Oreochromis niloticus: one gene and its partner. The protein of the gene in region 1 binds, or shares a complex with, the protein of each later gene. Links are inferred from orthologs where the notes say so. Each region holds a gene or a part of one and is shown in the gene's direction. Other genes may lie near its edges.

The links.
Region 2: the proteins of ercc6l (region 1) and bend3 are in contact, whole or in part, in a crystal structure (PDB 5JNO), measured with the Homo sapiens proteins. The link is inferred for Oreochromis niloticus from reciprocal best matches to the Homo sapiens genes ERCC6L and BEND3. Residues at the interface, in NP_060139.2 of Homo sapiens: Ala10, Glu11, Ala12, Leu13, Ser14, Pro15, Glu16, Ala18, Ala19, Tyr21, Leu22, Arg23, Lys26, Phe51, Pro52, Asn53, Glu54, Lys55; in NP_001073919.1 of Homo sapiens: Glu252, Gln255, Ile256, Gln259, Leu261, Asp265, Arg269, Val272, Gln273, Pro276, Phe279, Ser280, Phe335, Arg338, Phe339, Gln342, Glu346.

What each region holds. Positions count from the first base shown.
Region 1 is NC_031977.2:38,168,638-38,180,505, reverse strand, and holds the start of ercc6l (DNA excision repair protein ERCC-6-like), read left to right. Parts: upstream 1-6,519; 5' UTR 6,520-6,694; coding exon 6,695-6,750; intron 6,751-6,782; exon of another isoform or gene 6,783-7,037; intron 7,038-7,626; coding exon 7,627-7,671; intron 7,672-11,868. Other genes in the region: uncharacterized protein LOC100698890, read left to right, coding at 478-534, 2,488-2,619, 2,706-2,846. UniProt on the Homo sapiens protein: DNA helicase that acts as a tension sensor that associates with catenated DNA which is stretched under tension until it is resolved during anaphase. Functions as ATP-dependent DNA translocase. Can promote Holliday junction branch migration (in vitro).
Region 2 is NC_031983.2:24,803,698-24,816,074, forward strand, and holds bend3 (BEN domain-containing protein 3), read left to right. Parts: upstream 1-6,683; 5' UTR 6,684-6,862; intron 6,863-8,466; 5' UTR 8,467-8,469; coding exon 8,470-8,521; intron 8,522-8,639; coding exon 8,640-8,818; intron 8,819-8,897; coding exon 8,898-11,123; 3' UTR 11,124-11,662; downstream 11,663-12,377. UniProt on the Homo sapiens protein: Transcriptional repressor which associates with the NoRC (nucleolar remodeling complex) complex and plays a key role in repressing rDNA transcription.

The sequences.
Region 1 (11,868 bases):
AGGCCTCTGCTGTGATGCTCACACCTCTGATGGAGTCTCACAGTGTCAGCTTTGGTTTATACATAGATATAAAAATATGGAGATGAACTGATAAATAATCAGAATTAGAATATTTCTGACTGTCTGAGTCAAAACTGAACTGAATAGATTATAGAAATGGAAATCGATACCCGGCGCTCAGTCGGAGCTCTGCAGCAAACACGCGGAGACAGCACGCGAACGGAAGCAGCGTTTAGTTTGACACATGTGTCGCTGTGGAGCCGCCGAGCTGCTTCTAAAGCGACGAAGAAGAAGTGATGTAAACAGGAAGTTGGGCACGTACGTCCACAAAAACTGTCGTGTCGAATATGTGGATAAATATGAAATTCAGCAAAAGCTGTTGAATACAGAGGAACTGCCGAAGTTTGCTTTAGTTTAATCTCGGGACGTTTTTCTTAGTTTGGGGATTTTTCGCTGTTTTTGGGCCGTTTTCCGGTCATGTCCGGGTCAGTGAACCCCACAGGAGAGATGAGCAACGCGCAGTTATTCCAGCAGGTAAATCAATTTATTCTGTTGTAAAATAAATGAAATGTAAACTTTTATCACAGCGTGTGTCACGGTGAATTAGGCGTGGCTGAAACGGTCCAATCAAAACGAACAAAAAGACTTTTAATAAGAACAAAGACAATTTGATTATTCAGGAATCTTTATAGGTTTCTGTGAAGGTTCTCAGTCATCCAGCTCATCGTAGTCTCAGGAGCCTGGAAAGAAAAGCGTCTGGACTTAATCAGAGAAGCTTCTTCAGTTCCAAGAACAATTGGTCCCACATTTGAAACCCCGTGGGAGGGTCCCTAACAGGGTCATGGACCTTGTAATCTTTACAGGTGCAGGCTCACAGGAACATCAAACTATCAACAGAGTCAAATTAAAATCTAACTCAGCTGAAAGGAAATACACAAATACTCCTGAAGACACAGGTACACCTGAGTACACCTGCAGCCCTGCAGGTGTATTCAGGTGTTATCCTGTCCCACTTCCTTTACCGCGGTCAAGTGAGCCGTCATTTGTGACCCGCGGTCAAGCCATCCGCTTCTTATGTATTATTGTTGTGTAAAAACACAACAATAATACAAAGAAAAGCCCAACAATTTAATTACCCCATATAAGCTAACATTTAGTGAGAGTGGGAAGGAAAAACTCCATTTGAAGAGGTAGAAACATCTGGCAGAAACAGGCTCAAGGAGAGACAGCCATCGACTGTGACTGACTGAGGTTGGTGGAAATGAGACAGGACAACATATACACTGTGCAAGAGAGCAAGAGATACATACTAACTAATGATTAAATGCAGAGAGGTGTATAAACACAGATCGAGCAAAGAAGGAAAAAATTCATACATCACGGGAAGCCCGCAAGAGCCGAGGCTTATTGCAGCACAAATAAGGGAAGATTCAGGGTCACCTGATCCACTCTGACTGTATTATTTGTCAAGACTGAAGGTTTTAATGCTAATAACAAGAGCAGAGACGGGTGTTTGTCTTCTGAATTAATATTGTGAGCTGCATCCACAGAAGAGAGGCCTGAGAGATGAAGACTCTGATTCCCGTTCAACCTTAAAATTCTATAGGAACCACAAGTACACCTGATATTCCAAAATTAAAATCTGGATTTCAAAGCAAGTCAGTGAAGACAAGCAAATATGGCTGAAATATGCTGTCATGACTCTCTCAGCAACACTTTTGATCCATTAATATTAAACAATAATTGATGCAGCGGATTGAGATGAAACCTGGCCCAGAGGTACAGTAGGTGTCCCAGAGGAAGAATGTGTTGAAAGCTTGGCATCAACTATTAAGGAAGATTTTTAATGAATTTTTGAATATGCAACCCGACTGTCCCGCTTTGGGATGTCCCAAAGCATTGTATGCATGCGTGTGCATGTCTGAGTCCGCGCGCGTGCACGTGTCACTGCTTGCGCGTGTACTTGTGCGCAGGTCTATGCTTTCGATCAGGAAATAAGGAGAAAAGGCGCTGCCGTAAATGCCGGTGTAGAAGCGCAAGAAAATTAATGCGACGGAAAAGAGGCGGCTGGCTTGACTGCGGCTCACAAATGACGGCTCACTTGACCGCGGTACTTCCTTTCACACAGGCAGCAGGTACACGCTTTAGGTCTGTCAGTCTGTCTGTCAGCAGCTCTTTTATACCCGGAGTTAAACCTGAAGTCACCTCCCGATCCACAGTCCAGGCCTCAGCCTCTGTACACCAGCGTGTTTTTCATCCAATTCATTTTTAAGTTCAGTCCCTGCTCCTGATTGGCTGCTGAGGCTCACCTGCACAGAGGGATTCTGTGTCTTTCTCCATCAGCTCTGTCTTTGGTCTAGTTTTAAGAGTTTACGGGAGAATCTGTTCATCTTTTTCACTTTTTCGTGTTCATAAAAACACCTGTGGCATGTCAGCTGGGTTTACAGGCAAAAACTCTGTGATTGGTTCTCATCGTGTTTCCTGCAGGTGGCGCTGCTGCGATGGTTGAACTCTCAGACTGAGGAGGACCGGAGGATCTTGGCGGCAGTGACGGGCGTCCAGGTCGGCAGAGAGCTGCTGAATCGGATCACCGGCCAGGACAAAGTTGATGCCTACAAGGTACAGCGGGGGGCGCCGATCACATCCGCCACTCTGCTCGCGTCTCATTTCCTCACGATGAATGTCGTCCTGTTTTGTGTCCTCAGCGAGACTGTGTCCTGAGCATTGCACAGTTCCTGCGGCAGAACCCGCGAGCCTCGCAGGCGCAGATCAACGCCGAGGTGGAGAAGAACGTCCTGCTGTTCGCCGCTCGAGTCAAAGCTCTGGAGACAGCGCCGATTCTCTGAGTTATTCTGTGAACGCTCCACATTTCCCTCGAGTGTGCTCGCTTCATACTTCAAACCTTTGTTAGTTTGTGTTCTGCTTGTGTTGTCTGCTGAGGCCATGCTGAGTTCAACGAAAGCTACAGGATTTGTTTCCACATGAAGAAAAATCTGTTTCCGCCTGTGACTCTTCACAATAAAAGCTCCAGCTAATTCCAAGCCTTCTGTGTTCCGACTTGTTTACAGAACAATAAGTTCTGCACTTATTCAGATCTTCAGATTTTTATTTCTGGCGCACAAAGTTCTGATTGAGATTTTTGTACATGAGTTTCAAATGTCTAGAAATCTGGAAATGTTACATTCTGCATTCAAAGTTTAGTCATCAACTGTCTTTTACTGCTGAGGTTCATTATTTATGAGTCCTTCTGCAGAATGGGCTGATTTTAAAATCCTGATTGGAGTCAAACGTCCTGGGCTGCTTCCAGACAACAGACTGTATATTTATTAGTCCTTTATTTATCCAGGTAAAAATCTCATTGAGATTAAAAATCTCATTTCCAAGAGAGACCTGGCATCATGGCAACAAAAGTCACATACCACATAGGTATATAACATTCAAAACAAATACAATATCCCATACCAACATGTGTAAAATATACAATAACAGATCAAATTAAGAGTACATTAAAAACAATCACACTGAGTAAAAGAGCTGTTCTCTCGTTCCTTTAAGACAGACTTAAACTCTCCTGAGGTAACCAATTCTGATCATTTCAGTTCCTTCTGCAGATTATTCCAGGAAGCAGGGGCAGCGTATTTAAAAGCCTTTTTCCCCAATTCTGTTCTGACTTTTGGGACAATCAATTGTATGATATTGTGCGAACGAAGGCTGTATTGGTTGTGATTTTTACACATATAAACACATAAATAAGATGGAACCAGCCCAAGGAGAGATTTATAGATAACGAGCAACCAATGGGAGAGTCTGCGAATATGCAAAGATGGACATTTAGCAGCAGCATACAAAGAACAATGTTGTACACGATTTCCATAGCCAGTAATAAAACGTAAAGCACAATGGTACACAGTATCCAACCTCTTTAGGTAGTGGGCAGGTGCATTCATAAAAAGCAGGTCACCATAATCCAATAAAGGTAAAAAAAAAGTTGCATGAATCAAGTGTTTTCTCACTTGGAGGGAGAAACAGGATTGGTTTCTAAAAAAGTAACCTAGTTTTAGTTTGAACTTCGACACAAGCCTTTGAATGTGAGTCTTAAATAACAAATTCTGATCTATAATGATCCCTAGATACTTGTAAGATGTGACCATTTCAATTTCAGTTCCTTGAATTGTTTTAATCTTAGGAGACGTAGCTAAAACAATTCAAGGAACTGAAATTGAAATGGTGGAAGTCACCCACTTTGAATGAACACATAGGGAACACACCTGAGACTTGTTCTTGGTGCTCAAAATATTCAGGGTGCCACATATGCACTCTTGGTGTGCAGTGCACACACTCTTCATATGATCCTCTTTTCAGACTAACATTTACAAAATAAACTCTGTATTTCATTCATTAAGACCTGAAAGTGTTGACTGAGGTCACAGAGGGAGCCGAATGCTGCTTTCCTTATGGGAGTCTTTAAGCCAGGGGTGTCCAAACTTTTTTCGCTGAGGGCCACATACATAAAAATATAGGAGGGGCTGGGCCACTTACTAGAAATTAGGTATATAACCTTAACTTTACTGTATTAAAAATCATTTAAAAGTGGTCAAATGTGTTATATTGTTGAATATAATTAAAGACAAAACTGCCTTCATCACAGTTTTCCATAAATGGATCTTTATTGATTTATTCAGAAAAAGCTTTGGTAGCTCATTCTCAGAACAGCAGCAGATTTCTTCTTGGACAGAAGATTTACAGCACAGAGAAAAAACAAAAAAGGGGAAAATGGGACGGGTACATTTCAAGTTTGTTATTTAAGTTATTAGGCTTAGCAACACACCTGTTAACGTTCGTTTGAAACGGTTATCAACATTAACAGACTGAACTGGACTTAATAACAGGAGTGCATATAATTTTAGTCAATTATTCTGGTGAGTATCAGCTGCGCTGGGTATGTAAATCGGGCCATCCAGCTGCGGTGCTGATCGTGGCAAAAATCCGGACAAATGTCACTTGACCAAGGAGCAAATCTGCATCAGATGAGATCAGCTGACTTGCGTGTGCGTGCGCTGTGCACAGCGGTGTTTACTCTGTGTGTTAACAAGAAAAACGCATATAAGAAAGCGGTGCGCAAAAGCAGGGTAGTGACAGAATTGATGCGCATTATTGATATTTGAAGCATGTGTACCTGCACATTAACACACGGGTACTGTGGAAGATATTTTTACTCACCTAAAGTGCTCGTGCTCTCGTCCACTCCTCGCAAAGAAATTAGCAGCTGTGCGGCGTCTGTGGCATCAGTGCTCTCATCACATGCGATGGAGTAAAAATCAAAAGCACAGCTTTATCACACAGTTGCAGTTTAATGTTGGCTGACGAGTCTGACGTTGTTGAAGTCCTGCACTTTTTCCGGGCGCATTATTTCGGTGACTTTAACGAGGCAGTGTTTTATGAGGTCTCCATCTGAAAAAGGCTTGCCGTGTCTTGCGATGAGTTGGGCGACCTCATAGCTGCTATTGGAGCCCTTTCCTGGACAATTTGAGCACGAAAAAAAAATACTGTTGCTGACCCTGCAGGAGAGCTAGCATTTGCTTTAATTTCTGCTCTCGCTCAGCACCAGTGTAGGATGCATAGGCCTGATGTTTGGTTTCATAATGACGTCGTAAATTATACTCTTTCATAACTGCCACAGTTTCAGCGCAGATCAAACAGATACACTTCCCCATGAATTCTTTGAAGAAATATTCACTCTCCCACCTTGTCTGAAATTTTCTGCATTCACTTTTTATCTTTCGCTTCTTTGGTTCTGCCATGTTTAGTAACTTGAGAGTAAATTTCTTCTGTGATTGTCCTTTTTGGTGGAGCAACTGCCTTGATCAACAGCAGCTCCCCCTGGTGTTAAAACTAAGAAGTGCAATACACTCAAGCAAAAGTTGGAGTGCGGGCCATATTCTATTCAATTTATAAAATTACTTGCGGGCCAATTAAAACTGGACCGCGGGCCGCAATTGGCCCGCGGGCCGGACTTTGGACATGCCTGCTTTAAGCAATAAGATGAGTCGCCCCCTGCTGGCCATTAGAAAGTATCCAGGTTTAAGCTTCACTTTCATCTTTAACAGTTATGAGAGTCTAAGACATTTTTATTTTTAGCTGTTTTACATCAAAAACTCAAAAAGCTCAAAATAAACAAAACATGCTTTTAAGTCCCGAGAACATAACATCAGAGAGGAGAGAAACAGTCGGCTTTACCCTGTCCAGCCAGGAAGCATCAACCATGTCACCTGCACATGTGTGTGTGGAAGGAATTTTTTTTTTCAGTAATTGAGGGTAGACAATGGATGAAATACGGCGTTTTCCAAAGCTCGAATTTCGGTGATATTCCCTGGAAAACCTCAAACTGAACTGCTGCGAATGTAAACGTTTTCCTTCTCGCGCGTGTTGCTCGGCCGCTCATTGGCTGAACGTTTACTGGGGTCCCGCCTTATAGCACTCACCACCGCTTCTCCGATTGGATAACGTAGTCGTGACGTCCCCAAAGCGTCATCTCTGATTCGCTGTGACAAACCGGTGGGGGATGATCCTCGAGTTTAAACATAGAAACAGGTGGCGGCTCCTCGGAGAGTTCGGAGTTTAGTTTGAGGACAAATAATCGTTAAAGTCGTAGCTTCGAGCAGTTTGTAGGCGGAGGTACAGCTGTAACGGCGGGATGGACGGGGCATACGGTACCGGAGAGGTTTCGCAGATTTCGGAGAAGCTGGAGAAGTAAGTAAAGCTCGAATCGTTAGCGAGCGGCTAACAGGCTGTGCCGTCTGAGGTCCTGTTCAGGGTCCGAAACACCAAACATGCCACCGGGATAAAACTCACGGTACTGGGACCGTGGAGCGCGTGTCGGGGGCTCTTTTGATTGGTGGTGGAGAAACGGATGGAGGACAAATTAAAGGCAAATCCGAAAGGACAGTGAGCCGCTCGGTGTTTACGTTACTGGCCTCAGATATTTGGGTGGAAACCATCTGAGACTGTTACACTTGAACCTGTAGTCCACCCGTCAGGTGAGTCTACCTGTGAGCACCTTCTCTGCTGAGCTTTCAACGTAATCAGCCATAAACCTGAGAAGGTTTTCACACAGACGCTTTAGAAAAGCTCAACCATGAGAACGAGAGCGGCTATGAGTCAGATCTGATCTGGGGTTTTTAAAGGAGACGTGGGGGGAGGCCGCTCTGTTCACAGCTGCAGGTAAAAGCCCGCAGGTGTGAACATGCAACTGAAACCAGAATCAGAACCCTTTATTAATCCCTAAGGAAATGATGTGGGTCACAGTTGCTCCAAGACAGTAACAGATTAAACTATTTAAGCAGATTTATGGATGTGTTTTTTATTCCTGGAGCGAAGGCTTCAGGTGTTCTTCAGGTGAGGGTGAATATCTGGTCCTGTGGCTCTCTGAGTGGACTCTCAGGCTAAATATGTGGGTGTGTGAACTCTGAATTGCTGCATGCTTTCGGTCTGACACTTGGTACCTGTAATGGGAGGTGGTGTTACAGTCAAGCAAAAATCTCCAGATCAGTGAAACTGAATGAGAAGCTTCATTGTTTGTGGTGCTTATTTATCGGTTTGTTTGATTTTCACTCCGACTCTCTGCAGGTCTTTGTCCATCGACACAGAAGAAAGAATGGAAACTTACCACAGGTACAACACACACACGCGCACACACACACACACACACACACACTACTAATCTAATGCAATGACTCGTCACGTCATTTGTGGCTGTAGGTGAAGGCAGGATTTTCTTTGTCCTGAATCTGGGATCAGTAACTGTTCAGATGAGTCGCTGCTCTGCAAAACCCTGAAGTAGACCAAAGCCACGTTCTTTCACTATTAATGTGTGACGATCAGATTATGGCTGCCACGATTAGTCCACTATCAAAATCATCGACTAATTTAATAGTCGATGATTCGTTTGAAGTTTTGTAAGATCCTGAAAGACGCAGGAATAAGTAGTAGGATTTAAGAGTGTAATAACGGACTGAAACAGAAGATGCCAGCTGCCGTTAAACACCAAAGAAGAAGAAGCAGTCTCCGATATCGTAGCTGTGTCCACATTCAGGGGCTGCATCCTCCTGAGGCCGCATTTGTAGGCCGATTACGTTACAGCGGTGTGACAAAGGCTGTCCCAATTCGTAGACTCTGGGGTCGTGTCCAAATTCATGGGCTGCATCCTCCTGAGGACCAGGAGCGGATCTAGAAGGGTGGCATGGGATGGCAAGTGCCACCCTAAAATGATCCCTTGCCACCCCAAGTGCCACCCCAGTTTTGCATATGACAGTGTTGTTTATTAAAATAAGATAGCATTAACAGTTTGAGCGTAGTTACAGTCAACAGTGAATATAAATGCTAAAACTGAATATATTGCAGAGTGCCCCCCCCTGCACCATTAACAAATGGTTCAGCCCATATCAGGACCGGCTTTTTTCTTGTTTTCAGTAGCAAGCGATGCTTATGATTGTGCCAGAGCACATTTTGAACAACACCATGGGAATTTCAGATTTTACACAGGTGGTTGGATGTTACACTCTGGAAATGGAAGGAAGGTGAGTGTTATTAACCCTCTGTGGTCCACGGACACGCTGCACCTCCAAATCACATGACTGATGTAAGCTGACACAGCAACAAGCTGCAGCCACACTGAGTCTCTATTTCAGCCCACGTTGAAAGTTCGGACTTCAAAGTTTTTACATTTTAATTACAGGCCAGTAAATCCAGAGTTATGATAATATATATAAGCCACGCTTTTTACTAAATACTGTCGTCACGTTTTTGTGTGTGTGTGTTTTAAGCGTTTTCTAAGGACAGCGAGAAAACAGTAAAGAAAGGGGGGGAAAAAAGCCACCTCTTTCCTATCGGTGGAAAAATGCACCATGTCAACCAATTTATTAAAAAGTCAACATGTGGGATTTTGTTGTTTAGGAAGGGGGGGGGGGGGAGAGAGAGCTTAGTGTGTTGTGTTGTCTTGTGTAGTTGTTCTGTTGTGTAGTCGTTTTGTTTTGTGTGTCAGTGAGGGCACTAATGATGTCACTAAGGCACATTTGCAACGTAAACACTGTCACTAAGTAGAAAACCAGCGGAGTGATACACCTGCTGTTGTCAGGCCTGCAGGTTTGTCCCTGTGCTGCTCTCCTCTGTCTTTTGGTGGACAAACTTTTTTTTTTTTTTACTGGCACACATCATTTGTGGGGCATCTTATTGCGACACCTGATTGTTCTCTCATTTTAGTTTTAGTAGGGCTGCACGATTAATCGTTAGAAAATCGCGATCTCGATTCATACATATGTGCGATCTCATTTCCAAATGACAACGATTTAAAAAAAAAAAAAAAAAAAAAAAGACGACGACGATTGTACCGCATTTTGATCCGGGACGTAATCTGCATGAAAACAAGCGCTCACCCTTCCTGCTCAACAAATGACAAGGGCGGAGCCTTATACCACGTGATACAGAAGCTGTGCCGTGATGCTCAAATTGGCAGGAAAAAACAACGGAGAACACGTCAGGGATGACGAGAAAGTGACAGGAGAAAATCCGTCCCGGTCAACCACCCAAACATCAATAACGGGAACCTTATACAGCGCTTCCCCATAGCCGTCGAACTCCCGCAGGCACAAAGAAATTACGGAGGCTATCACTTATCACCTGACCAAAGATATGGCTCCCATCAACACTGTGCAAAACGAGGGATTTAGGAAAATGATCAACACCCTAGACAAACGCTACACAGTGCCGTCACGCAACTATTTTTCAAACGTTGCACTACCTGCTCTATACACGCAGTGTCGAGCAACGGTGGAGACGGAATTACAAGCAGTACAACATTTTGCAGCAACGACAAAATGTGAGACAATTATTGTTTTTATGTTTATTTATTGTTTTTATGTTCAGTCTCAACTGTTACGAAGTTGATGTGCAGTTAATAAGTGCAATAAATATTTATATTGGAAAAGAAAATCGTGAGAGAATCGTGATCTCAATTCTAAGCAAAAAAATCATGATTCTCATTTTATGCAAAATCGTGCAGCCCTTAGTTTTAGTAATATTTTTAAATGGTTGTGCAAAATGAAAAAACGGCAGGTGTATTGGCTGCATTTTTAGATAAATAGTTGTATATGTTTACAAAATGTACAATTTATATTTGCATTTCAAGTTATATAAATTTACTCAACATGTCTGTGGGGTTTTTTACAGTAAAGAAATACTACTAGGATTTTAAGTTCTTTGTGTGATTTCAGATCAGTAATACTAATGCAGTATGTCAGTGAAAAAACAACTAAATTCAGTTGAGCTGAAACGATACCAAACAAGGCAAAGGGGGAAAAATAAAATGAAACAATTTGAGGGTGAAATACAAACGTAAACTCAAAAGGAGTCAAAAATGTCCGGTTGTATTTCAGACCTCAGAGGGTTAATCCAACAAATCATGAAAAATTAGGTTAAAGTTTTTGTTCATGACAGTGCAGATTTCTGACATTTTGTGTAATTTAAGCTGTAACAATGTGATTGTTTTCACAGTGTGAAACTTAAGTTAGACTTGTGTTTGTAAATGAACCGCCCCATGTTGTGTAGCTTTCTGGATTTTATACTTATTGGGCTCCATATTTATTTATTATACAGCCTATACAGTACATAAGATCAAAACTCACATGTTTTTAACTAAAGTGTGTAATTATGTGGGCTACAGACAATAATTAAGTTATAGACTATATTTATATGAAAAACGTGTATACTTACTGCATTTGAATTATTTTAACCATATGTAACCACCTGCATATGTGTTTGAAAAAAAAGCCTTGATTTTGCCACCCCATTTGATTTCTTTGCCACCCTCTTGCCACCCTAAGAAAATTTCTCTAGATCCGCCCCTGCTGAGGACCCGGCCTTCACGGTCTACGTGGGCCGGGTCCTCAGAAGGTCAGGTAGGCCGGAATTAAACAGCTGTGAAATTGGACGGTCTAGCCTTCTGATTAACGTCACCGCTGTCTCGGTGGAGTTTAATAAACTCAGCCGCCTGCTCCTTGCTATCTAAATTATAACAGGACGCTGGCGTAAATTCTCGACCGTCTCACACTTTTGTTTAATTGGTTTTCTGTTTGACGTTTATTCAGCTGTGTGAAAATCCCGGAGGAACCCACCCGGGGGATTAATAAAGTTTTATTTTATTTAATCTAATCTAATCACTTTAATCTCAGCCAAACCGATTTACTGACGAACAAATAAAACACTGAAAAAAGCCAAACAATATCATTTCTAGGTTGTCTAAGTGACTTATATATTACGTTTAACCTGAGTAGCGAAAGTCCGTGGTGATCTGAAAATGATGTGCCGGGAGTTGTGCCGTTCTCGGCGGCTTCAGTGACCCTCGAGCTCTCCGTTTGCTATCAAGCTGGTGGGTAACAGACGTCTCCGAAAACGTCGAAGCACTTTTGCAAATATGCGATGTCTTGATAAACCGAGCAGATATTTGAAGTTTACACAGCTACATTCTCGCCTGAAAATATGTTAAAAGTTTATTTTGTGACCCAGAAAGATTAATAAAAGTAATTTTAAAACTTAGTAGCAGCCGCCATTGTTGGAAACTGGAGTTTGGCTGGGCCGCGCTATGAATTCTGGGATATGGTGGGCCACGAAAGACACACATGGCCCATCCTTCAAATTCAGGGAAAAGGAGGACGCATTTGTCGGCTGCATTCGGAGGAGTCTATGAATTTGGACAGCCTTCGGCGCGTCGCTGTGACGTAATCGGTCTACAAATGCGGCCTCAGGAGGATGCAGCCCATGAATTTGGACACGGCCTGGCTGTGTCCCAATTCAGGGTATGCACGCTTGAAGTAC
Region 2 (12,377 bases), on another chromosome or scaffold:
AATGGTCCTTAAAATAACGTCCAATAATTTGCTGTACTTCCTCTTAGCACTCTCGCTGCAACATTTTTGAATCAACTAGAAGCTTTTCAGGGAGATAATAAAGGATTGCAAGAGTCCAGCCTAGAAGTAACAAATGTGTGGACTAGTTTCCAACCTCACACTGAAACAGGTTGTTTCTCATTTTTATTCCTCAGATGAAAGAAAACAGTCCAGCACATTTGTTTAATGTGGTGTTGAAGGACATATCCTGGTCATAAATGACTCCGGGATTCCCCACAGTGTTACCAGAGGCCAAGTTAAAGACATCCAGAGTAAATATCTGCTTAGACACCATGTTTCAAAGGTTTTCAGTACAATAAGCTCAGGGTTTTTTTTCCAAATGTACTATATTTTAATACTTAAAAGAATGTTTCGAAGGGTTTTTTTCTGGTTTTTTGCCAGTTTTCTCAGATAAAAAATTAGTCATCTGTGTTTTTACAAGAAGACAGAGTGCTTTAGTAATTTTCTTATATTTGCACCTTGTAATATTCTAGTAAGTTTTCTAGGTTATGTTTTTACTACTTCTGTCTGTCCAACTGAAGTATACCTGTCAGATCAACCATCACCACCTCCTTGTTGCTTTTTTTTTTTAAATTGGATAAATATTTAATTCATAAACCAGATAATTTGAAGATATTCTCTCCTATAACAGTTCATCTGTCCCCCCAAAAAAGAAGAACCCCTAATTAAGGCATGAAGTCTCCATCCCGTCTTAACCAATTTTCCAATTTAGGCCTATCCCAGAGTCCCGGTGCAAACACCAGAGTACACCCTTGATTAACCATCCAATAACAGAGTTAACATTCAAATCGAGCATGACAAACAAAAGGGTGGTGCCAAACAGGTGCTAGCTGAGAATTATAGGAACTGGTGATCCCCTTCTCCCACAACCACCTTTACAAACAGTGATGTGATGCAGTTCTCGGCTCTGTTGCCTCAAAGCAAGAAGGAGCATCCCTGAAACACCACAGCCTACCTGAGTATTGTTACTGACCATCTCTATCCCGTTATGAACACAGTGTAGCCATCATCTAATAGCACATTAAGACTCTGTTACCTTTACAATGACATGAAGTCAGAGATGTGCATTTAGGAAGAACCTGTCAACAAAGCTATAACACCTATGTAATACTGTCTGGTCTATATAGATGGAAATCTCAGAGCAAGGGTTCAGACTTCTTTTCAAATCGGTGCCACTAAAAGGATTAAAAGTGGCCCTAAAATCAGCAGATTTAGATTAACTAAAAGCCATGAAGCCATTGCAGAAGCGCCAATAAACTCCGGTGTTAAAATCCTCAAAATCTTCACAGCAAAAATTAACAACCTTGGCCTGACTGACAACAACAGGTTGTCCATGGCTGCAAACAAGCTGGAGACAGAATGCCATAAAAGGAAGAAATAACTAATTACTTTAAATGGAAAGCTAACACTTGTTACAGTGAAAAAGTAGCCTGATGCTATGGAGAGTAACATAACACCCAATACTTGTGCATACTTCATACTGCTGATGAATGTAGGTGTTTACACTATAAAAATGACATAAATATTTCAAGCTTTTTGGCTTCATTTAGTCTCCATATTTCTAAGTAGGGGATTAAATTTCACAGACATAGATGTCAGAGTCTCTGGCTACACACCAGTGATTGTGACCTAATATTTCCCTGCCTCCCTTCTTTATCCACACCAGGATTGATTCTATGTGACCCTATTACGAGTAAGCCTGAATGTAAAATGACTGAGTGAATGTAAGCGTGGAAGGATGTTAGAATCTCCATTTGTCTTCCTCTGAATGGGCTATCAGTAAACACCTGCTAATATCATCATATAGCTGACGGTGATGGATGAAAGTCATTCTCCTGAGATGGGAACAGTATGGCTGATTGGCCTCTTCCACACAGACGAGCATATTGACCAAAAATGACACTTTAACGAGCTCTTCCCCGTGTTAAGTGCCGCACGCCGGCCCCTCGTCGCAAGCCGCCGCCTGGCTGACCCTGGGCTGTGCTCTTCCCCCTGCACAGGGCCTACTCGCTTCATTGGCTGACAGATCAGACTGCCATGGAGACAGCTCATTAGTCGAATAATGAGAACCACACCAGCCACACGTTGTCTTGTTATATCATCTCGGTATCGACATATTTGTGGCTGAGGACAGAACATTGTGTGCCACTGTGTGCATGAAAGAGCCGATGATTAAGATAGAATTATGTGAGGTCTTCTGTTCATCTCTGAGTGACATCTGAGGAAGCCAGTGCTGCTTAACAGCTTCTGCCCGTTACAAATCAAAATCTTCTCCTGATTGCAACAATATGCCATACCTCCATTTGTCTTCCCTCTCTTATTAATCATTTCCCACAGTTTCTTTCTGCTGCCGCCAGCTCTGTGTTACAAATATTTCTCTGCAGTTTTGACCTTGCAATCTTAAACCCAGGCTTTCATTTAATTCTGTTATTACTGATGGACAAACTGTTGTTGGAATTTCATTGGTAGACAGAGTGAATGAGGCAAAACAGTATTTTAGATACCACAGCAATTTGTTCTCATACATCAGTTCTCTTTTCAGGAAGGCCATCTCTACGGTGTAGTTTGTCCGGGTTGTTCAGTCTCGCTCCAACAATCTAAAGACATGCACAGTGGGTTAAGTGGTGACTCTAAATTGGTTATAGGTGTAAATGTGAACAGCTGTCTGTCACTGTGTTAGCTCTGCAGTAGACCTAGCGATCTCTAACCGTAACATAACCACCTGACTTTCAACCGCAGATAACTGCCCCCTCCCTGTTCCTGATTTCTTCTTTCTCTGAGGTTTCTTTCTGTGAAAAGGGAGTTTTTCCTTCTCACTGTCACCAAGTGTTTGCTCAGAGGGGATCATTTGATTGTTGGGGTTTTCTCTGTATTATTGTAGGGTCTTTACCTTACAATAAAAAGTACCTTGAGGCGACTTTTGTGATTTGGCATTATGTGAACTGAATTGAATTGCTTTTGTTTTTATAAAAATTTCCTCTTTCACTTGTGTACAAAAAGAATTTTTGGTTATGACTGAATTCGGTCTGGATAGTGATGCCAAATGAATGCAATGATGCATCTGAGCTCAAGCTTTTTCAGCTTGAATCTGAGCGAAACAAAACCAAGGGGGAAAAAAACAAAACCCATGGCACATTTTTCAGTGGCTCAGAATGAGGCAAAAAGTGGGGCAAACTTGTTGGCGTGACTTCTTCTCTACGCCAACTGAGAAGCAGAGAGTTTGTTGTGAAGAGCTCAGTGTGTGGATCGAATTATTGTTTCATGGGTAAATATATTCCTCTAACGGTAGTTTCAGCATCCACTATAATCATGTAGTGCTACTCTTTGTCCAAATCCATTTCCTGTTCACACGCGTAAACATGGTCCATAATTACAGGCTGTGCAGATCTGCTGGCCACACATCTACGACTGCATCTGATAGGTCTGAGTAGCTCCATCATCTTACTTAGAGAACACTGAACGCTTAAAGACTGCTGAGCACATTGTTGCTTTCTACATCAATCTAACAGTTGGTTCACTTTTAGGGAGGGGTGGTTTTCTCCCTGGCATGAGAGCATCTGATACTCCTCACCTTTCACTTTTTTTACATTTTCACTCTCTGTCTGAAGGCATTTATACTTCTTGTGGGGGAAATTGTAGGCTGGGCCTTTGGTTTTAGTTGTTTCTTGTAACCAGCTGCTCTTTTAGAAGCCGTAGAGACTGATATTGCTTTTCTCATTTTCTCTGTCTGGAAATTACAACAAATAACAGAACACTGCGCTATTTCTTTAATATTATGTATACTCCATGACATCAGAAGTGCACCCAGTATACAGTGTTAAGCCACAGTGTATTTCACATCCAGAATGATGGCAGCCATCAGAGGTCAACAGGTATTAAACAGAGTATTTATGAGTACACAAGATGACAGTCAGCAATCCTTTAAAAGAAAGTTGGAGGACTAATCAAGACAAATCAGGCTCTGAGTATATTTGGAGGAGAAAGCAGCTGCATCATCAACACAATGTAATATTTTAAAGTTAAACAATGACGTTGTCCCCATGTTTTACACACAGAGCAGATTCACATGGTTTTACTGCCTTTTTCCACTTGAGGGCGATCTTGTCCACATGATGTTGGCTCTGTAGTTTTATTTTCACAGAGATCCCGCCTGCACTGGTAGCAAGGCTTTTAGAACTAACCATAAAGTAAATTTGATAGCTAGCAAAACAATATGGCAGCTACTTAAGGAACTGCAAATACACAGGAAGTATGAGGCAGAAAACCATCCCTCCCTAGTATAATCTAGGATTAGTTACATTAGGATGGATGGATGGATGGATGGATGGATGGATAGATGGATAGATGGATGGATAGATAGATAGATAGATGCCATCAAAATGGAAATAGTATTGGCCTATAGAACAATAAATGTATGAACAGAATATAAAAATATTGAAGAGACACCACAACATACAGTTAAATACAACAGTTGAATACAACATGACTTCTCTTGCTAGTTGCAGCCTTTATCACAGTATGTGCTCACATGTTATTTAACAGTGACACAGAGATGCCGTGCTGATCATTTGTTCTAATGAGGACAAACAGTCGACTTTAAAAAGCATCACTAAAAAAGGCCTGCATTAAAAATTGTTGTTTAGCAAATGTGTAAAATACATAAATTTGCCAAAAGTGTGATGAAAAATATCTCAGTAAGTAAAATAAACTACTTTAACAGAAGGGTTCCTGAGAGCAAGTAGCCTATGTTGAGATGAAACAGACAAATAATGCTGTTAGTGGCCAAAGTGGTGCTGACAATAGCCCCTCATTTACTCATTCAGTCTTTTTTTTTTTTTTGTCTGGATGAAAAGATTTGAATAATAAATCGATCCAGCTCTGCATGCAGGATCTATTTGAAGGATTCTTTGCTATTACAAACTGGATATTTCAAATCATGTCTTCACAAGTATTTTTTAAAATAAAAGAAAGAGTTGTATGCATGCTGTGATTTTTTTTTTTTTTTTTTTTTTTTAAACATTTTAAGTCATTGTCTAACCTCTCGGTCACAAGCTGCATCTACAACAATCAAGCCTCTTATGATGATATACAATCATGCAATCAACATTGTGGAGAGGAAGCTGATGAGACACATTATTTCCATGCTCTTCAGAATTTACATGTGCCAGGTTCTATAATTTTATTACATTTACTCATCTTAAATGTATTTATAAGTGCTTATATAATCAGTCTCTCTGGGTGATCATTGTCCTCTTGAGAAATAGAAAACTCAAGAGCTTTCTATGTAGGAGCCCAACTTGTGGTATTCCTTACTTAATTAAACTGAATCCCTTTTAAAGAAGAATCAGTACTGCTGTCATTAATAATCTGCAGCTCATTGTACTACAGCCCCGGCCTTGTACTTTGCTGTATATGTGGGTTTTTTTATATGACTTAATGTATTTATTGTATAGACTGTATTTCTTTTAAACTCTTGCATGTGCTTACAGCCTGAGTCTTTGAAATAAGTCAGGATGGATCCCTTGTTTTCCTGCTGTTTACACAAATTTTCTCTTTTTCAGACCATTCTCCTGAAACCCTGGAGATGCTTGTGTATGAAGATCCCAGTATTCAGACCAGTCCATGGCAACCATGTCATATTCAAAGAAATGATCTTTCTTGCTCTGCTTGAACTCCAATAGGTCATTTTGAGCATGTTTACATGTCTAAATGCACTCAGTTCCTGCTATGTGATTGGCTGGTTAGCAAGGTTATTATAGTCAAAGGAGCTTGCAAAGAAAAGCGTCTGGACTTCTTTAAGTTCTTCTTCTAGAAGAACTTAAAGAAGTCCAGACGCTTTTCTTTGCAAGCTCCTTTGACTACGATGACCTGGATGACTGAGAACCTTCACAGACAAGGTTATTATAATTAACTAAAACTAAATTAAAAAAAGATGTAAAAAAAAAATATATATAGCTTAATAAAATCAAAACTAGACTTTTGAAAAAATAAATAAAACTACCTCGAAAGAGGTAATATGCGTAGTTTTAATATCTGTTGGTTTGCCTGACGACGAGGCATTGATGGGCATATTTCTTCCAAAAGACAACTGCCTTTAAAAACGTATGTTTTTATTGTAAACATGTACTGATTTTCCTAAATCTTCCCTCTGCCATATGTCCTCCATACAGTAATAATAATAAAAAATAATAACAATACTGAAACAAAACTGAAACTATACTGAAGTAAAAACAAAAAATCAAAATGAATGAAAAATAAAAACTAATTAGCAATTGCAAAACTAATATTATATTATAAACTATTATAACTAATATGCTGAAAAAATATTCAGAGCAGTTGAACAAAAGTGTCCAGTGTGTGTGTGTGTGTGTGTGTGTGTGTTAATTCATGGAATATGTTTTATAATGTTTCGTGATTGTGTCTTTCGCGTGGGCTAACAGCTGCTCAGCATGTTGAGTATTATTTTTTATTATTCGGTTATTTATTCAAACCCTTCTTTACCTGGAGGACTCTTAGTTAAATACAATTCAAAGAGTGTAACGGCAGCCCTGTGCATTTACAATGTAAAACTGTAACTGTGGTCCTTTTTCTTTTTTTCACCCGTCTCTTCTTCCACAGCTGTGCGGAAGTGACACAGCAGGCGCGCGCCCGTCACGTCACGCGAGAAAGCACAGGAGCCGAGCGAGAAAAAAAAAACACCAACAAGAAGAATTACCTTCTTTTATTACCTGCGGATCAAACTGCTGTGATAGTCTGCGGACATGTCGCTGACGGTCCCGGGGGGAGGCATGGACTAGTGAAGGTGAGCTCAAACCTCTGGTCACGCGGGTTTTCGGTTAATTTAGCGAGAGTCGGGGCACAGGAGGAGGAATAGGACGGGGGTAGGAGGGAAGGTGGTGGGGGGGGGCAGTAAGGCAGGCAGTCAGTCGTCCACGCAAACGTTGCCGCGTCATTAAATTTCACAAACAAAATGTGGCGGTGTTATAGAAACGACGCGTAAATACGCGCAGTGTTTCTGAAAACACCAAGTTTGTGGAAGAGTTCGGGCCACACGGCGGCTTCGGCTCGTGTTGTGGTTCAAGGGTTCATGGGCGGAAGAATGAGGAAGTAGCGGGGTATGAACGCTGGAGGGGAGCTGGGAGGGAACTCTGTATGGAGGCATGCACCGAAAACGGGCTGACTTTAGGTAACAGGGGGGGTCAGAGCTGTGCAGGCATTAACTACGCGTTTATATCAGCCTCACGAGCCTGAGATAAAATACTCAGGCAAACACAGAGGTGTGTGTGTGTGTGTGTGTGTTTAGCTACAAGGCTGCAACCGGTCACATGGTGCTTGCTATGAGGGTGACACGCCAGCCACAACATGTATGTATTTTAACTGAAAACAGTAGTTTACCACTTTGATAACTGCTTTATAATCATCAAGCTCATTTTAGGCGTCATGTTTGTATTCTTTGACTCTACTAACATAGCTTTGCATGAATCACAGCTCAAAAAAATCATCATTAAATCTTTTATTTTTAAAAAAGAAGCATGTGCAAGAATGGTTACAGATAGTTAAAAATTACTCCAGTTATAGAGCATTGTGTTTAAACCGCAGAGATAACCAAGTGAAAATTGTGAAGTTGGAATGGTCCTCCTCTTTAATTATTCCATCCACTTTGTGTAATGCAATGAAATACCTGTATCACTGGCAGGACAACAGCCCCACAGCATGATGCTATCACCACCAATTGACATTTAGTACAGTGCTCTTAGGTTTGAAAGCCTCACCTTTACTCCTGCAAACATACCTCTTATCATTGTGACCAAATAGCTCATTCTTTGTCTCGTCGGACTAACTTACCAAGTTTTTCTCCAGAAGATATTTTGGCCAGCTGTAAGTTACAGTTAAGCTTGAAGGTGTCCGTTTTTGGAGGAGGGGCTTCTTTCTTGTTCAGCACCCTGTCAGTCCGTGTGGCTTCACTGTGGATAGTGATGTTAGTGTTTGCAGTTCATGGCAGGCTTAAGCCTCAGTGTTCCCCGGGTTGTTCCTGAACATCCAGACCAATTTCCTCTCATCTGTGGATGACAGTGTGGGCCTTCTTCCAGACTTTGCAAAGTGGTAACCCATATGAGTAAATTGTTCAAACAATCGTACAGTACAATTTACTCATCTGCAAAGCTACAATTGTCCTTAGATCTTCCTCTCTCTTTTAGGACACTTTTATCTGATTAGTTGCTAATTGTAAAGAGAAGGTATGAACAACAGGTGGACAGGTACATTAGCTAATTTTAGCGTTAATAACCTTTCCATGTAATTTATCCAAACCTAAGAATATGTGTATTACACACATTACTGTCACATTGTACACGTTGATGTATTAAGTGTGTGCATATTAAGTAACTTTCTGAATTTTTTATCTAGGCTATGAATTCCCGTGAGCATGGGGAAATCTCAGATGAAGCAATGCTTGAAAAAGGCAAGTTCTGCATTCTTATCTTTGCAACTGCAGCAGGAAAAATTCACAAATTAACAAAGTATGTTTTTATTTATTTTTATAGTGTATGCAGTAAAATAAATTATGCATTGTTTTGCAGAACACAAGCATGTCCAAGATTATAAGGAGGAGACGGAGGACATTGCTATTAGTGAACAACCTCAGGTACGTGGAAGAGGATCTTCTGGAGCTGCCGAGGCTGGGAAACGGTCATCTGCAGAGATGGGACCTGACGCAGACCAGTCCACTAGCAGCAAGAGAGTCAGGGTGTCTAGCGAGGTAAATGAAGCTCAACTCATGATTAAAACAATATCTTATATGTTATTACACATCCTTGACTGACATTTATTGTGTCTAGATGAGACGGCACTTGATAGACGAGAGCAGCAGGATTGAACCTCTTTGCCTCACCACAACCGGAGAGAAGAGAGACTGCATCCAGGAGAAATCTAGAGTCTCCTACAGAAAGCCTCTCTTCAGCATCTCCCACCGGATCTCGGAGAAGAGGAACACCCCGAGTCTGGAGCAGCAGGCGAGTCTTGGCAGCTTGAATCAGCTCAACAATATGCTCTCATCCAAGCTCCAAAATCCGGAGCAAAATGGCCCAGCAGAGACCATCCCCTCCACAGACACTTTAGGCCAAGCTTCCACAGCGGACTCCAGCCTTTATCCACTGATTGAGAAAATGTTTTTCATTCTCAACACTCTGAATTCAAGCATGACGCAGCTGCACAGTAAAGTGGACTTGCTGACGCTGGAAGTCATGAGGATAAAGAAGCAGATCAAACCGGCTGAGATGGTGACAGAGTTCCAGCCTCCCCCCGAGTATCTGCTAACCAGCGATGAATTGAATCAGCTGATGGAGCAGACGTCAAGCGCTGGGGAACTGGGCTGTCGACTGCTTGTGCATCTGTTCCCAGAGCTGTTCAAAGCCAGGGAGTGTTCTCACGACTGCATGGCGAGCAAAAGAACGCTGGAGTCTCTACATCTGCAGCTTATTCGAAACTATGTCGAGGTGTGCTACCCCACGGTAAAAAACAACAACGTGTGGCAGGAAGAGTGCCTCCTCCAGATTAATGACTTTTTTAATCGCTTCTGGGCGCAGAGGGACATGGAAAGCGCCCGGCTGCTCAGGAAGCAGGCGGTCACAGGTGGTGGCGTAAAAGCGGAGCAGCCTCAAACCTTTCGTTTCATTAATGAACAGGGTCAGGAGGAGCACATATCTCTAGATCACCAACAGGGCAGCCTGGCTGGTTCAGATGTCGGGTTTGGTACACAAGCCACAGAGGAGTTGGATGAGTTCTCCTCCCCAGAAGACTTTGTTGTTTTCCTAATTCACCGTCTCTTCCCTGAAGTTTTTGAAGAGGGGAAAATACCAGAAGACTGCGGCAATTTTAGTAGTGTAGGACAGCTAATTCTGGACTCTGACAAGATGGACATAATTAGAAAGTATATGGAAGCGAATTTCCCTGATGTGCCTGAGGACAGCTGGCTGCAGGTGTGCATTCAGCATATGGAAGACGCACTCGAGGGTCCTCACAGTAACGGCAACGGGAGTGAACCGGACAACATCAATGAGGAGGGCTACGAACTGGCCAGTCTTCCTGAAGATGTTTCAATTATCAAGGTTCCAGAAGTGAGTGAATATGAAAGACCCAGTCGCAAGTCTAAAAAGTCGCTGCTCACGCCTGTAGATTTTGACAATCTGGAGATTCCTCTGCCTGACTTTACTGTTCCCCAGGAATACATCCTGTCCAGGGAACAGCTCAAGAGCAACTATGAATGTAGCTTGTCTGTTGGGAACTTTGCCTCTCGGTTGCTGGTGCTCATGTTCCCTGAGCTCTTTACCTACGAGAACGCTAGAAAGCAGTACAACTGCAGCGGTTCTCTTGGGAAAAAGCAACTCGACCCCATTCGCGTAAACCTGATCCGTCATTACGTGCAGTTGGTCTACCCCCGGGCCAAGAACGACAGAGTGTGGATGTTGGAATTTGTTGGCAAACTTGACGAGCGGTGCAGGAGACGTGACACGGAGCAGAGGAGATCCTACTTGCAGCAGCGCAAAGTGTACGGTCAGGAGACAGAGCAGGACTTTCTCTGCCAGCTGAACCAGCTACATCCTGATAACGGCAGACAGGATCCAGATATTCCCTCTTTACCTCCTGAGAAAAGTAGCAAAGACTTCTGCAAAATACCCCTTGATGAGCTGACTGTGTCCAAACCAGACTTCCCTGTTCCCTCCATCTACCTGCTCTCCGATACCGAGGTACGGGAAATTGTCCAGCAGAGTCTCTCTGTTGGGAACTTTGCCGCCCGCTTGCTGGTGCGCCTCTTCCCCGAGCTCTTCACCCACGAGAACCTGCGGCTGCAGTACAACCATTCAGGCGCCTGCAATAAGAAGCAGCTCGACCCTGTTCGACTGAGACTGATCCGTCACTATGTGGAAGCCGTGTATCCTGTGGATAAGATGGAGGAGGTGTGGCACTACGAATGTGTGCCAAGCATCGACGAACGCTGCCGGCGCCCCAATCGCAAGAAGTGTGACATTCTTAAAAAGGCCAAGAGGTCAAGCACTGTGTCCTAGTTACAGTACTCTGCAGTTACCCAACACTTTCTGTCATAAAAACAGTTGCACAGTATATAAGCTGAAATCGCATTGTTGAACTTCTACACACTGTCCTCTGTAGGAAGAAGCCAAGCTGTTGCGAGTTTCTTTAGTAGTATTCTTACTCATATTTTACCTTTTTGGCTACAGCAGTAGATGTTCTAGTTTATGTAGTCTTTATTATTGTTCGATAAAAAAGTTACAACCGCTCCTATTTATAAGCCAAACATGTCATAGCTTCTCTAACATACTCTGTTGATAAATGTTGTAGCCTTATAACAATAATAATGATAGTAGCTAACAGCATAGATCACACATTTGCTCTATGAACAGAAATCAAATCACAAGGACGTGATATATTTCCATCGCAGTTACTGATGTAGCATCGTGCCACCACTGTTTTAATAACTATGTGCTTATGTTAAGCCTTCTTATAGAAGTTTATATTATAAAGATAATTTAACATGACAATGGCTCATGATAACCAGTTTCTAATAAAACCACAGTTATAAATGTGACATACAATCACACTGTTTTACATAATCGCACCAGAGCAAGTTCAACAAACAGAGCATAGCTTTTCTTTATCTGGTTTCACTTACCCGTTAGGCTAAGAGGTCCCCTGAAGGTGATTATCAACTTGAAAAATCAACCCAATCACATGACATTGGAGACATGTTTAAGTCTGTTGGCAGATGACTGATTTTATAAAGAAAGATAAAACTGTGATTTAAGGTTGAAAGCAACACAAGTTCTGCAGACAAATGAGCAGTGTGTGTGTGAGAGAGAGAGAGAGAGAGAGAGTGCACTTTAAGTGCTTTGGTCAGAAAGACTGGAAAGACTTGCTGTATTAATAACATTAGCAAAATGGCAACTTTATAAGTTCATAGACTTGAGTGTCTTGGACTGAACAGGCTATACGGTGATACATGGAGCACTTCTGCTCTTAACTGAGCACTCAAAAGCACTTTCTACTGCAAGCCACATTCACACAGTGCTTTATTCTATACTTTTAAGTGCTATCACATGCAGATGCATCAGGGACAATTTAGGGTTCACAATATTGCCCCAGGACACTGATTTGCAACCCACCTATCGCCCACCAACCTTCTGACTGGTGGGCAATAGGTGGTGCTCCATCTCCTGAGCCACAGGCATCCAGCTCTTAGTTCCATCATTAACATAAGAGAATCAGATGAATTGCACTTTCATTCCATTAAATTAATGTTGAGA